3 linked regions of the Ovis aries genome follow. The main gene of each other region encodes a partner of the protein of the gene in region 2 in a complex. Links are inferred from orthologs where the notes say so. Each region holds a gene or a part of one and is shown on either strand. Other genes may lie near its edges.

Region 1 (4,308 bases), on a different chromosome or scaffold from region 2:
CTATGGGCCCTTGAACCTGCCAGATCCCATTCTCAGTAGCCTAGAGAGTTCTAGATTCAAAGGCCTTCCTCTCCAAAGTCCCATCAGATCTTACCAGAGGCGAATCCTGGAACCTTCACAGCAGCAGCCACTTCACGGGCCTCTTCTCTCAGTACATCTAAGACAGGAATTAGAGTCAAATGAAGAACCAACAACGTAGCTCGCTTACTTCCTGTTTTCAAAACTCCTGAGTCACCATAGGCTGAGTGAGGCAGGCCAGCCTCCAGGCAGCACCCGCATCCTCATCTCCAAGAAGGAGCCCGTGGAATAAGAGGTAGGTGCTGGATGGGGACGCTGGCCATCTGAGACTTGCCTCTGGCTATGTGACTTTGGGCAGGTCATTTTCTCTTCGGGGCTTCTGTACCACATTCCAAAAGGAAAAAGGAACTGAATGATAGCTAAGAACCCTTTCTTTTCCTTTTCAGAAATATACAGATTTTTATGGGTTCATTATTAAGACTTCAATGGTTTCCTTCAATAATACTCATTGAGCACTCCTGAGTGGTCTTGAGTTCTGGAACTATGGGCCCTCACTATGGTTCAGAGGGTCTACTGACCCCCACAGAAATTCTCATGGTTTCCCCCACCTACATTCATATACAAGATCTCACCCTCAGCAGTCTAGGTCTAGAAAACTCTAGAATCATATTGTTTCCTCCCAAAAGGCCCAGCCAAACTCACCAAAGGAAAAATAAAATCCCAGGGCCCTCACCATGGACTGGGACCTGGAGATAAAACAGAGAACAAAACTCACTTTAGCCCTGCCTTTTGGCTCTCATCAGTTGTTTTCTGATGATTAAAGTAGAGGAAAAAAAAAAAAAAAAACCTCTCTTCTTTGAAACTACATGTTCTCTTTCCCCAAATGGAGTATTAGCTTTCAGAGGGCAAATTTCACAGCCGAGAGGATTAACAAGATAGCTGAAAATGCCCCTCCACCTGCAGAGAGCTAGGTAAGGGTTCTGTGTTCCTTTTGTGCCCTTAACTTCCCTTGACTCTGCCCTGAGAACTCCGAGTGAGAAGGCAGCCACAGAATGAAAACCTGTTAGTGGCTAAATCCTATCCCAGGAAGTGCCCCCTTGCTCTTTTCTTGCAGCCTCCTAAATACATCCACCCAATATCTGTCCTGCTGTTTTATGGCTGGTTCCTATCCTAGGCTGTGATCTTCACAAAGGCAGGGACCACATCTTTCATGTCCATGTTTCCAGTTTGTGCCACAGGAGTAGAAATACCTCGAATATACAAAGGTCTCCTGCAGATCAACAAGGAAAAGAAACCCTGACGAAAGACAATGGATCTGACTATAGAGTTCCTTGACAGAGATACTCAGATGGCCAAAGTGTGCGAATGATACTCAAATTCATGACTAAGCTGGGGAATACAACGCAGGTATGAGCTACCTACTTTGTACCTATCAGAATGGCAAAGGTTTGCAAGCTGGAGCCAGCCAAGTTCTTGGTGGGCCAGTTCTTCTATAGCCCTTATATAAGTTGTAGAGACTGTCCGTCATGGAATAATAAGCAGCGGTTACAAAGTGGGAGCAGGCAAAACACATAGAACTTAAAGTACAGAGTGCTTACTTGCAAAAAATAAAAAATAAAAAGTCAAAAACAGAACAAGCAAATTACAATATGAATACTAATACATAACATGTAATAATAATTGCTAACACTTACTGGGTACAGAGCAACACCAGTCACTAAGTGGCTAAAGCTGTTATTATCAAATAAATCCTCACAGCTACCTGTTGAGGGAGTGTTAATCCCACTAATGATGAGGAAACAGAGGTACAGAGAAATTATTTTCTTGCTCTGGTCACAGAGTTTAAGACACAGTGTACACACACAAAACAATGGTACATTTCACAAAGATACAGAACAATTAAGGATATGTATCATAAGATGCGGAGGGTTGTCTTTGGGAGCCGGCTTCTCGGGTGGCTCAGTGGAAAAGAATCCAAGTGCCAATGCAGGAAAAGCAGTTTCGATCCCTGGATTGCAAAGATCCCCGGGAGACAGGAGTGGCAACCCATTCCAATATGTTTGCCTGGAAAATCCCATGGGCAGAGAAGCCTGGCGGGTACAGATTCTAGGGTTGCAAAGAGTCAGACATGACTGAGCGACTAGCAAACACACACACTTTGGGAGCCAGCGAGGAGGATAGGAGATAGGTTGGGGAGTGGGGAGATCCAAGAAAATGGATAAAGCAGGGCAGGGTCGGGGGGCCCATGGGTCCCCAAGACCAAGGGTTTATAGGGAATCGGGATCTGATTGAGTGATCAACTCAACCCTCTGCCCCAGGACAAGTGGTATAGAAAATAAACATAAAAAGGTAAATAAAGTCTTCTGGGAAATCTAAAGTAAACCAGCAGGAGACAGTGTACCTATACTCGAGGCAGCAGAGGAACTGGCGCGTCCTCAGATTAAAAAGTAGCAAAGCCAGGGGCTGTGGTTCAGATAGGAACCCACTCAGAACCTGGCACTCTGGCAGGACTGGGAGGTGACTTCCCCGGGAAGTCCTCGAGTGAGAAAGGCGGCATCCAGAAGCCAACTGGGCACCAGGCACTCACCTGCTCCACACAGTCCTGGCAACATCCCAGCCACCAAACTCTCGACGACAAGACCCCACACTGCCTAACTTCACACTTCGTATTACTGAGGCTCGTTCTTAAAACCCAGCTGGAGATAAATCCCTGGAAATGAGGCAAGCGGGAGGGGGAGACAGGAGGTGGGGTTGGAAACGCCTCCAGGAAGAAGTTTACTTTTACTTTCGATGCCTCCACCAGGCTTTTATGCCTGCCCCTGGAAGACTCACTTCCTGGTTCTCTCCTCTCTACGTTCAGAATTTGCTACCAAATTCCGCAGGGCTTTAAAAAATCTTGAGATAAAAGAAAGAGAACCTGTGAAACCATTGCCTTCCAGCAGAAGGGCAAACTCTGGTCTTCAGGAAGAGAGAAAGAAAATTCCTGAAGAGAGAGAACTAGAAAATAAACTTGATTTGGAAAGCTGGAAAACTGAGGTGACTCACTTGAACAGAAAATGTTTCTTATTTAAAGGAACCGAAGCCCAATTTCCCTACATTCAGAAGTGACCACAGACATGCAACTAAACTGCATGTCAACATGCAAACTAAAAACCAGGAAGCTGGACGTGTTTTATTGGAAAGCATTTTACTCACTGCATTTAGTGTTTATCAGCTCTCTAATTTTTAAAGAGACTTGAGACTGCCTGTGGCCAGTAAAATGTCATTCTCGCTTGAAAGGGGTCTGCAGAGAAAAATGCTTCCTCTGTTCTGTGGCCTGAATCTTAGCACTGCAGCCGTGGACAAGCTCCCCAGATCATCTGGCAAGAACTCTTCCTGGGTCCAAACAGATCTCTAGCTGAGTTGTGAGGAAATTCAGCACCAAAAGGGGGTGAGGTCCTGCCCAGCCCTAAGCAGGGGTAACCATCCTTGTCCAGTGCTGAGCCCCTGGTGGGGAGGGGAGTGTTGGGGGGAGGGGACAGTGATGTGAAGACCTCTCCTCTGGGAGTCTGAACCTCCCCAGCTTTTCTTCATCCTCCACCCTCTCCCCACCCTCTGCCTCTGTTAACTGTTTGAATTTTTTAAAGAGTTTTCTGCCTTTTTGTTTTCACATCTTCTAGATTTTAAAACTACGACACCAATAATAATGCAATATCTGTACGTTGCACCTTTACATCAATTATTTCTCATTCTCCCAACAATGTAGAGGATCCCGCATGTCATGGAGGAGGAAGCGGAGGCTCAAATGAATATATGAATTCGAACTCAGTCCAGCTGGATCCAAAACAAGGATTTTTCCACCATAACACACTATTCCCTCCCCCAAAAGTTAGGATTTGAAATGAACCATGTGGATGGAAGAGTGCTAAATTTAAACTCACATGATGACCTATGTGCAGAGGTCAGAAGGTCACCTAAGAAAAAGGAGGCGGCCTACAGGCACCAGCTAACAGCATAAAAATTCTGTGTGTGCCACATGTATAACCACCCAAACTGGTTCATTTCACTTTCTGAGTAATTCGCAGAAGTGGATGCTATTTTTGCTCTCATTTGAGCAAGGAAGCTGAGGTTTGGAGAGGTGAAAGACTTAGACAAATATCTTCAGCTAGTGAGTGGCAGGATGAAGTTTTTGTGCCTCTCTAAAACCCTGAAAGGTTAATCAGTGTCTGAACATTAGTACACACCCATGGCTCTCAACTTGATTGATCTGAGGGTTAACTGATTAGGTTTCTAAATTGCCAGTCTTCAGGC
Region 2 (4,164 bases):
GGAACCTGCTCTCTCGGGACCCTGATGTTCTCAAGAAGGTTTGTACATTTTTCAGGAACAGAGCTGGGGCGCCCCTCCAGATTCAGCTTCATCATTTCAGAGCCCAGGGAATCATGGCTTCCTGTGGTTTCCTTAGGACTGTCTATTTCTGTCCTTTCCAGGCCTGGGCTGTTGCTGCCCCTGTACTCAGAAAGGAACTCCTTCACCTGTAGGGATGGGGAGCTGGCTGGGCATGGAGGTGGGAGAGCCGGAGTAAACCCAAGGGAGTTGGGTCCATATCTGTTGCCTGGGAACTCAGGGATGGGGTGAGGAGAGAGGGGACCATGGTCAAAGCTTAGAGAAGGGTGGTCAGTGGGGGGTCACTGAGTGGCCAAGGGGGCCGCGTTTGCCATCCTGCCCAGCTCCTGGGTGGGGGTGAGCACTCACCACGTAGACTGCGGCATTCATCTTTCTACCAGGCGCATCTCCTTTATTTACCAGATCAAGGGCTTTCTGGGTGTTTATTCGGCATTCTAGAGAGAAGGCAGAGTGGGTGGCAGGTCAACAAAATTTCTTTTCCGGGGGAGAAGCCCCTGCTGACAAATTCAGGCCTGTCTCAGCTGCCAGCCGGATGGCCAGCACACCTTGGAAGGAAGGCCTCTTCTGGGGCTCATGGCTCCAGCACCTCTGCATCAGATCTGCCAGCTCTTCCAAGCCAGGAGTCTCAGGCCCAGACGGGGGCAGCTCAGTCAGCGGGGGCCGGATCCGCCTCTCACACACTGCTTCCCGCACCAACAACGTCTGGGGCACTACTAGGGTGGGGGTAGGGGTGTGAAGAGAAGGCATTCAGAGTATGAAGGCTACCCCATCACGGAAAGGGCTGGGGAGTGTAGGAGATGTGAGGAGGGAGTGGGGCAGTCTGAGCAGGTAAACAGGAGGAAGAGGGCTTGGGGTTGGGAGACTGGGGGCTTAGAGGAGGGGGGCACCTGAGGTGAAGGATCCCAGAGTCTGTCTTACTCTCAGCTTCTCTTCCGGCTAGCACTGCCCATGTTAGGATCCCAAAGCTGCAGTAGACACAAAGCTGAGGCCTGACTCAACTGCTGGCAAGATTCCTTTCCATACAGCATCCCTTTGAAGGACCCAGGCAGGTGTAGAAATTGGGGATATATGTTTGGATATATGTTTGGAGTGGGTGCCTTACCTGTAGACATCACTGGCCCTGGAGGCCTTCTGGTTTATATTAGCCAACAGTTCTGGGGCCAGGTAGGCTGGGGTGCACCCTGACTCCCAAGATCCTGCCCCTGACTGTGAGCCTCCCTGAAATGTGGACAGGCCAAAATCTGCCACCTGCAAAAGGGAGATAAGAACGAGGAGATAGGGGATGGAACAAAAGGGAGATAAGAAGGAGATAGGGAATGGGCAGGTCCAAGAAACTCCCAGAACCCTTTCCTTACTCCTCTCCCCCCAAAAGTGCAGGCCCAGCCTTGCAAAGACTGTATGGAGGGTTAGGGGAAGGGTAGGACCAGTGGGGCCCCTGGCTGGAGGCCTGGGTCCCCTCTCCATGGCACCAGGTTGAGGTCTGAGTCTCCTGGGATAGATCAGCTACGGGTCTTTGGAGGCCCGTGGGGTGGGCCTGTGGAACTGACCAGGGTAAGTCAGGTGATGGTCAGGTGATGGTCAAGGCCTCCATCACCTGGTGTGGCAGGGGCCAGAGCTCCAGGCTAGGCCTTGACACTTGGGCAGCCCTGTGTCCAGAGGGAGATGCTGAGGGTATTCAGGAGACAGGGCTGCAGCAGATGCGGGTCCTATGTCCCGTGGATGGGGTTGGAGCAGCTCTGGGGCAGGACCTGGTCCAGAAGATGGGCTGGGTGAGGGTGGGCTGACCTTGGCGTGCAGCTCTGAGTCTAGCAGGACGTTGGAGGGCTTGAGGTCCCGGTGGAGAAGCACTGGGTTCTGGCTGTGCAGGTAGCACATCCCGAGCACCAGCTCCTGCAGCAGGCGGCAGAGGAGCGGCCAGGGCCGAGGGCAGTGGGGCTGTAGCAGCTCCGCCAGGGAGCCGTTCTCCATGAACGGAGTCACCAGAGCCGGCCCAGACACGTACTCCCACTCCAGCTTCTCGGTGACCCCCAGCAGGAGCAGCACATGCTTGTTATGCAGACTGGACATGGCCTTCACCTCCCTGGATATGGCCCTCCTGCTCTCAGGGGAGAGGTGCCGTCAGCTCTGCGCCCGAGCGACCCTCCCCGCCGCCCAGGCCCCGCCCCGCACAGCGGCCCCTCCTCCCCGGCCCAGCCTCCTGGACCAGACCCCACCTCGGGTCACTCACGAGTTCACGATCTTGACCGCCACTTCTACGCCCCAACTCCTGTGATGTGCCCGGAAGACAGAGCCAAATCCGCCCTTGCCTATTAACTCCGGGTTCTCCAGTTCCTCGATGGGCACCAGCGGGGCTGAGGCACCGCTGGGCCTGAGAGAGGGGGGCCACGTAACCAGCCGGCCGCGGGCCCAAGGCCTCCCTACTCCCCTCCGAGGCCCACCCCTCTAACCGCCCCCCGCGCCCACCTCCGTGACTCGGCTCAGCGCTGTCAGTTCGAGCCCCAGCCCCTCCCGTGAGACGCACTGTGCCCTGGTCTTGGCACGAGGCGCATCCATATCTCAGTCTCCACTCACCATAACGCAGAGCCAGACATCAGGCTGGAAGATGAGAGAAGCTTCTGGAAGTTGCGAGCCCCCACGGATGAAAGAGGGGTTGGGGGCGGGGAGAGGAATCAACCTCCAGGCTCCTTCACGGTTCCGCTTCCCGCTTCGCGGGGTTGTGCTCTCTGCCCGATCCACTTCCTTCTTTAATTGATGCCTCTACAGTCCCGCCCCGGGGGCGGGGAAGGGCACAGGGCAGGGTGCAGAACAGAAACTAGTGCTGCTCCCAAGGTGTCAGGTCAGGTCTGGTTGTCGCTGGGTATCCTCACCCTCCAGGAACCCGCAACCACCTCCTACCGCTGGCCTCTCTCCCTTCTTCCACAGGATTCCCAGCTCCAGCGCCAAGCTTGGGATACCGCGGCGGGGTTCGGGGAGCGGAGGGTTGGCGGGGGGCGGGGGGAGTGCGGGCGGTGGCGCTGAGTAGGATGTCATGGTCCTAGGACTCTGTTCTCCCACAGCTGCCCTAAGATCATAGTTAACACTTCTCTAAAGCTCACCACATGCCATTAGCTCACTTAATCCTCACATCAACCCAAGGGGATAGGTACTGCTTTTGTTACTTCTTTATAGGTGAGAAACCACTGAGCGTATAAGCACCTGGCCCAAGCTGACATGGAACTGACGTCAGAGCCTGGCTCTGAACCGTGAAGCTTTGCCGTTTTCACAAAGACGTCAGCTGGTGGGGAAGGTGACGGGGGAAGGTGTGGCTTGTCCACTGGGCTCTATTCTTTCCGAATACAGACCTCTCCCAGGGTGCTGTGGTCAGCTAGGTGAATTGGCCCACCAGAGAGTTGCTGATACTGTGGTGTACACGGCAGTGGAGACACCGCAGAGCCTCTCTGCCCTCTCTCCCCACCCTCCATTGCAAATTCTCTGGTTAATATTAATAAATCTTCCTGACAAACATGCTCTGGACAAGGGTCTTGGAGAACTCAGGAGCTTGGGGAGACTTAAGGATTCAGGGTTGACAAAAGGTGTTCATATTTTACCTGCCCAAGGCCTGACCATAGCTGAAGGTTATGGAATTAGATACGGCCAGCCTTAGGCACTCAGTCCTTCATGGGGAGACTCAACCCTGTGGGTCATGGGGCAAGACTCCCTGGAAGGTGCTCACCTTGTGGAACTTTCCATCCTGTCCAGTGGTCCATGGACTCCTCTAGCTGGAGCAAAAGTGGCCAGCAGTTAACTGTGGTTCCTCCAGAAACTGGAACTCCAGGATACACATCTTGAATTCTGATGGAGTCAGTGCATGCTATTTTTGACCTATTTAGGGAATTCTTAAATTGTAGTCTCTTTAAAAGCTGGTACAAGGTAGGTATCCAATAAATATTTGTTGAATTGGATTAATAAATGAACAACCCAAACTTTTTGAGGCTTCACTGAGATGCTAACCATCCCAGGTGGTGCTCCATAGTCAACAGAGAGGAGCTAGGAGGTTGGGTTTATTTCTGGTTTGGGGTCTCTTCACGTACCTGCGCAGTCGACAGA
Region 3 (4,305 bases), on a different chromosome or scaffold from region 2:
TTGTGGAGGAGCTGGTTGAGCTTCTTCTTGGGCACTTGCAATTTCTTTAACAGTTGGGTGGTCTTCACAGGGGAGCCAGCATCCCTCAACACCTCCAGAATTCTCTGCTCAAGGTCTGGGAGAGGGAGACAGGGGCAGAGACAGAACTGAGGTCCCCACGACCCAGCCTGGGCCGTCAGGCGCCCCCCAGAGAGGGATCTAGGGCAGACGGAGGAACAGAGGTTAACGTAGACACCCATCAGTGTCTCCTTGTCTTCAGGGAGGGGCGCGTGGGCTGCTCAGAAGTGACCTGGGCAGGACAGTCTGGTGGCCAGAGGAGCTGCCAGGCCTTCCGAGTGTCCCCTGCCTGTGTGAGCACTGGAGGACAGATGAGAACAGTCAGCCCTCAGGTGTCCTCAGAGCAGAAGAGAGTGGAGGCGGCAGGATGCAGGAGGGTAAGGGCGGAGCAGAGGAGCCAGGGAAGTAAGGCCTGTCCCTGGTGCCTTCTATCCCCCATCCACCCCGCCCTGTGGAATCTGCTCCTCGGGCTCACCATCCACGGGGGGGTTTCACCGTTCATCCCCCCCAGAAGCCCAGCCGGCGTCCAGAAACAGAGCTTTCACCCTGCTGCCCAACCATGGAGTCCTGGTGGTGCCGCTCCAGACTCTCTCAACCCCTTCTCCTTTCCTCTGCCTCCACTCCCCACTCCTTGTCAGCATCCCCTCGATGACAGAAGTTCCACCAACTCCAGCTTCCCTCCAGTCCACCCTCCTCTTGGCTGGCAGAACCCGTTCTGCCAGCCTCATCTTTACCCACCCTCTACTGCCCTTCAAGTGCCAACCTGTTTGAATTCCTTTCAGCCATACTCACCCCTGGGCCTTTGCACATGCCATTCCCTTTGCCAGGCATGCTCTTCCCCCCATTTCCACCTGTCCAGTGTGAGTTCTCACTCAGACTCCAATGCTGGAAGGCTGTCCTGAGTGCCCTGAGCAGGTGGGATGCTGGTCCTGTGTGGGTCCCCTGCAGAGTGTCCCCAGGGATCCGCTGCTGTGACTGCCAGGTTCACTGTAGTGGTTCTGTGTCTAGCCATGGGCCAGGCATGCAGTAGGGTCTCACGAACTATTAACAGCATTTGAATGGAGGAGGGACTGGATGAAAGAGTGAGTGTCCACTCCTGGGTAGATGTGTGCTCAGATGGCCTGGGCAGGGGATGGGCGCTCCTCCAAGGCCTCTGTTTCCGCCTCCCCTCTGCCAGAGTTAATGGTCCTAAGCAGGATGCCTCTAGGCTCAAAGAGGAACTTTCCAAATAGCCTCTACTCCTCGCAGGCAGGCTCCCATAAACCCAAGCCGGCTGCCCTGTGGGGAGTGAGAGAACTGGTGGGCGCAGAGCCAGCAGTGCATGGCGCTGGGAGAGAAAGTGTCTGCCCCTGAGAACACCATGGGAATGCAAAGCAGGGCCTTTCTTGGGAAGGCCAAGTTACCTTCCCAGGGCAGCAGCCCAACCCTTTGACTTCTGGGTTCTTGCTGGATTCTGAGTGGGCAGCACTAGGGGATGACCTGTTTGCCAGCTCTGCGCTGGGCACTGTGGCTTGCTCTTGTGGGCGGAAGGTTTGCTTTCTTCTGGGGGCAGGTGATGTGCATTACAACCCCTGGGGTCACCCAGCCTGAATTTCACTCACTAAACACTACCCCCGAGACTGTCATACCCGTCCCACCCACTGATGCTTTGCCTAGCCTTGAAAAGAGTTTTGATTCCTGAAAAACCTGCTCCTGGGTGAGCCTCTCTCTCTTCCTCCTCCTGCAGTCCCCTGACCCCAAAGAGGAAATGGGGTCCATGCAGTGAAGGCTGGGCTTGCCTCCCCCACTGAGTCTTCTGGCTGCTGAACCAGAAATTGCAAAATGGGATGAGGTATAAATGATACATCAGTTAAAAGGAAAACCTGCTGGGGAACAAGTTAAATTCAGTTACCCAGTGCCCCTGACAAGTCTCCTTGGGAAAATACAACAGGAACCTGGGAACCCACCCTGGGATTCTGGGCCACTCCCAGTTAACCCCCCTCCCTGACACAGCATATTTTCCTGGGTTTGAGCCAAAATTCTGCCACCTATCAGCTGTGTGACCTCCATTTCCCCATCTTTGAAATGGTGAGATTCATGACTACTTCAGATCATGGTGAGGTTCAGATAGTTACTGATCACAGAACAAAGACAGACAAAAAGCACCTCAGCCCCCAGCCCACACCCTTTCGGTGGGGACCCTAGGAATCAGCTCTGTTCAGTGCCAGTTAAGTTTCGTGTGCGCCATTCAATAAAAGAACAGCAGCAGGAGGAAAGCCACATACAAGCAAAGCAACTTCCCTCCTTCCTCAAAACGAAAGTGAAGGCGGGTGTTCAGGCCCCACGCTCAGCTGTGGTCGCCTGAGTCATTTCACCTGTGCTGCCTGTGATCTCGGGAGTGAGGTGGGAACCTCAGCGGGCTTCCCCTGAGGGTTCCTGCAAAACGCACACGGATTGAACCCGATGCAATGCTCTCTCCCTCTCTTGTTACGGTGGTGCCTTCAGGTATTAGCCTATCATGGTTGTCATCTGAACCAAGAAAAGGAACCAGAAGAAAAGTTAAGTCCAGCCCAGGCACTCCCGCGGGTCCTTAGAAGGAAAAAAGTACCTGTGTCTCCTGGGTCAGCAGGGACCTCGGCCATGCTGGCAGCAGCTGCAGGAAGCCTGGGAGACTTGGAGTCAGCAGCAGGCTCTGACCCTGGGGCCTGCATAAGGTGGGTCCGGTCAAGGCTGTGTGTACTCTTGTGGGCCAGGCTGGTGCTTCTAGCAGCTGTGAAGACACTCCAGCTTCATCCGGACAGCTGTCAGCTGTCAGCTGTTCACACCCCGGAAATGAGGCCCTAGGCAGCCAACCTGATCAGTTTCTGGAGAAAATGAAAATGAAACTCTTATGTGTGGTTTTTGAGAGAAACAAAATCGAAAGCTGAATTGAGCAAGACACAGTTAGGCCTTCTACTAGATATTGGTAGGGAGCTGCTGAGATGGAGGAGACCAGAGCTTCTTCTAGGGCTGGGGGGATTTCCCACCACTGTCCACCTTGACTCCCCCAGCCACAGGCCAAGATACCTGGGTGGGTGAGTGGCTGAGCGCTTGTGATCATCAAAACCACATATGTGTGTGCATATCAAACCAACGACAGTGTTGGTGTACGGCAGAGACCACAACATTAAAAAGCAATTATCCTCTAATTAAAAAAAAAAAGGAGGACTGTTTAATGAGTACTTACTATGTACTTTCCAACCTCATGTGCCCCTGACTCATCTACAGGTTAGGATCTAGTTAGGGTCTCTTTTCTCAGGAAACTGAGGCTCGGGTCAATGAGGCCACTTGTCCAAGATCACAGAGATGCTCAGGTTCTAACTCAGCCCCACCATTTACTGGCTGTGGGACCTTGGACAGATTATTTTACCTATTTATGTCTTAGTTATCCCATCTATGAAATGAGCTAATAAAAGGAGTGACCTCAAGAGGTGGTGGCGAGGACTAAAAGGGTTAATTCAGGCACCTCTACAGCCATGAGCATAGCTGGGCACCCACTGACCTGGTTCTGGAAAAAAAGACCCATCGCTTCTGAAAATTCTTACAGGGGCCATTGACCTCCCCAAACAGTTCAGAGACCCTGCTCAGTCCAGGTGACGGAAGGGGAAACTGAGGCCAACAGAGGTGAAGGGCTTTGTGCAAGGCAGCCCAGAGGGTCAAGGGCTCAGGGTCTCAGCTGAGGCCAAGGAGTAGGTGCCAGTCCCGGGCTCCCAGGGGAACACCATCCGCAGCATTTCTGCAAAGGGAAGCACTTGGGAATAAGTACAGCCATGGAAAGGGCCCCGAAGGCTTATCTCAAAGTTATCTTTGTGTTCCTGAGTCCAAGTTCTCCCGGCTCACTGCACAACAGGCCAACAAATCAGAGATGAGGTGTTGAGGCAAGAAATACAACTTTATTTGGAGAGCCAGCTGACCGAGAAGATGGCATACTATTGTCTTAAAATAACCATCTTATGGGGTCTGGATGCCAGGTTCTTTCACAGATCAGAGGTGGAGGGAGATGAGGAAACAAAGTAAAAAGGCCATTAATCTTGCGAACATCTCAAATGGCGAGCCTCAGGCAGGGGATGTGTTCATTTCTTCCTTCCTGCCATCTACAGGTGGGCAGGGTTCTGAACAAAGGCACTCTAGTTTAGCAGTCAGGCAGAGGGGGCAGGATTCTGAGGCAGACCATTATGGGTGATTATAATAACAAAAGCAACAGAGAGCAAATTAGAAGGAACGCATGTA

What was found.
Region 1: RIPK3 (region 2) and CASP8 share a complex: the UniProt entries of both Homo sapiens proteins name them as parts of the AIM2 PANoptosome complex. The link is inferred for Ovis aries from reciprocal best matches to the Homo sapiens genes RIPK3 and CASP8.
Region 3: RIPK3 (region 2) and ZBP1 share a complex: the UniProt entries of both Homo sapiens proteins name them as parts of the AIM2 PANoptosome complex. The link is inferred for Ovis aries from reciprocal best matches to the Homo sapiens genes RIPK3 and ZBP1.

The regions. Positions count from the first base shown.
Region 1 is NC_056055.1:203,615,560-203,619,867, reverse strand, and holds the start of CASP8 (caspase-8), read right to left. Parts: upstream 2,802-4,308; 5' UTR 2,606-2,801; exon of another isoform or gene 1,245-2,605; intron 765-1,244; exon of another isoform or gene 721-764; intron 314-720; exon of another isoform or gene 220-313; intron 158-219; exon of another isoform or gene 95-157; intron 1-94. UniProt on the Homo sapiens protein: Thiol protease that plays a key role in programmed cell death by acting as a molecular switch for apoptosis, necroptosis and pyroptosis, and is required to prevent tissue damage during embryonic development and adulthood.
Region 2 is NC_056060.1:20,648,132-20,652,295, reverse strand, and holds the start of RIPK3 (receptor-interacting serine/threonine-protein kinase 3), read right to left. Parts: upstream 2,804-4,164; 5' UTR 2,670-2,803; coding exon 2,650-2,669; intron 2,447-2,649; coding exon 2,306-2,446; intron 2,174-2,305; coding exon 1,864-2,173; intron 1,827-1,863; exon of another isoform or gene 1,543-1,826; coding exon of another isoform or gene 1,327-1,542; coding exon 1,181-1,326; intron 1,044-1,180; coding exon 997-1,043; intron 792-996; coding exon 624-791; intron 513-623; coding exon 427-512; intron 207-426; coding exon 1-206. UniProt on the Homo sapiens protein: Serine/threonine-protein kinase that activates necroptosis and apoptosis, two parallel forms of cell death. Necroptosis, a programmed cell death process in response to death-inducing TNF-alpha family members, is triggered by RIPK3 following activation by ZBP1.
Region 3 is NC_056066.1:58,226,220-58,230,524, reverse strand, and holds the start of ZBP1 (Z-DNA-binding protein 1), read right to left. Parts: upstream 2,802-4,305; 5' UTR 2,748-2,801; coding exon of another isoform or gene 2,645-2,747; exon of another isoform or gene 1,336-2,644; 5' UTR 240-1,335; coding exon 1-239.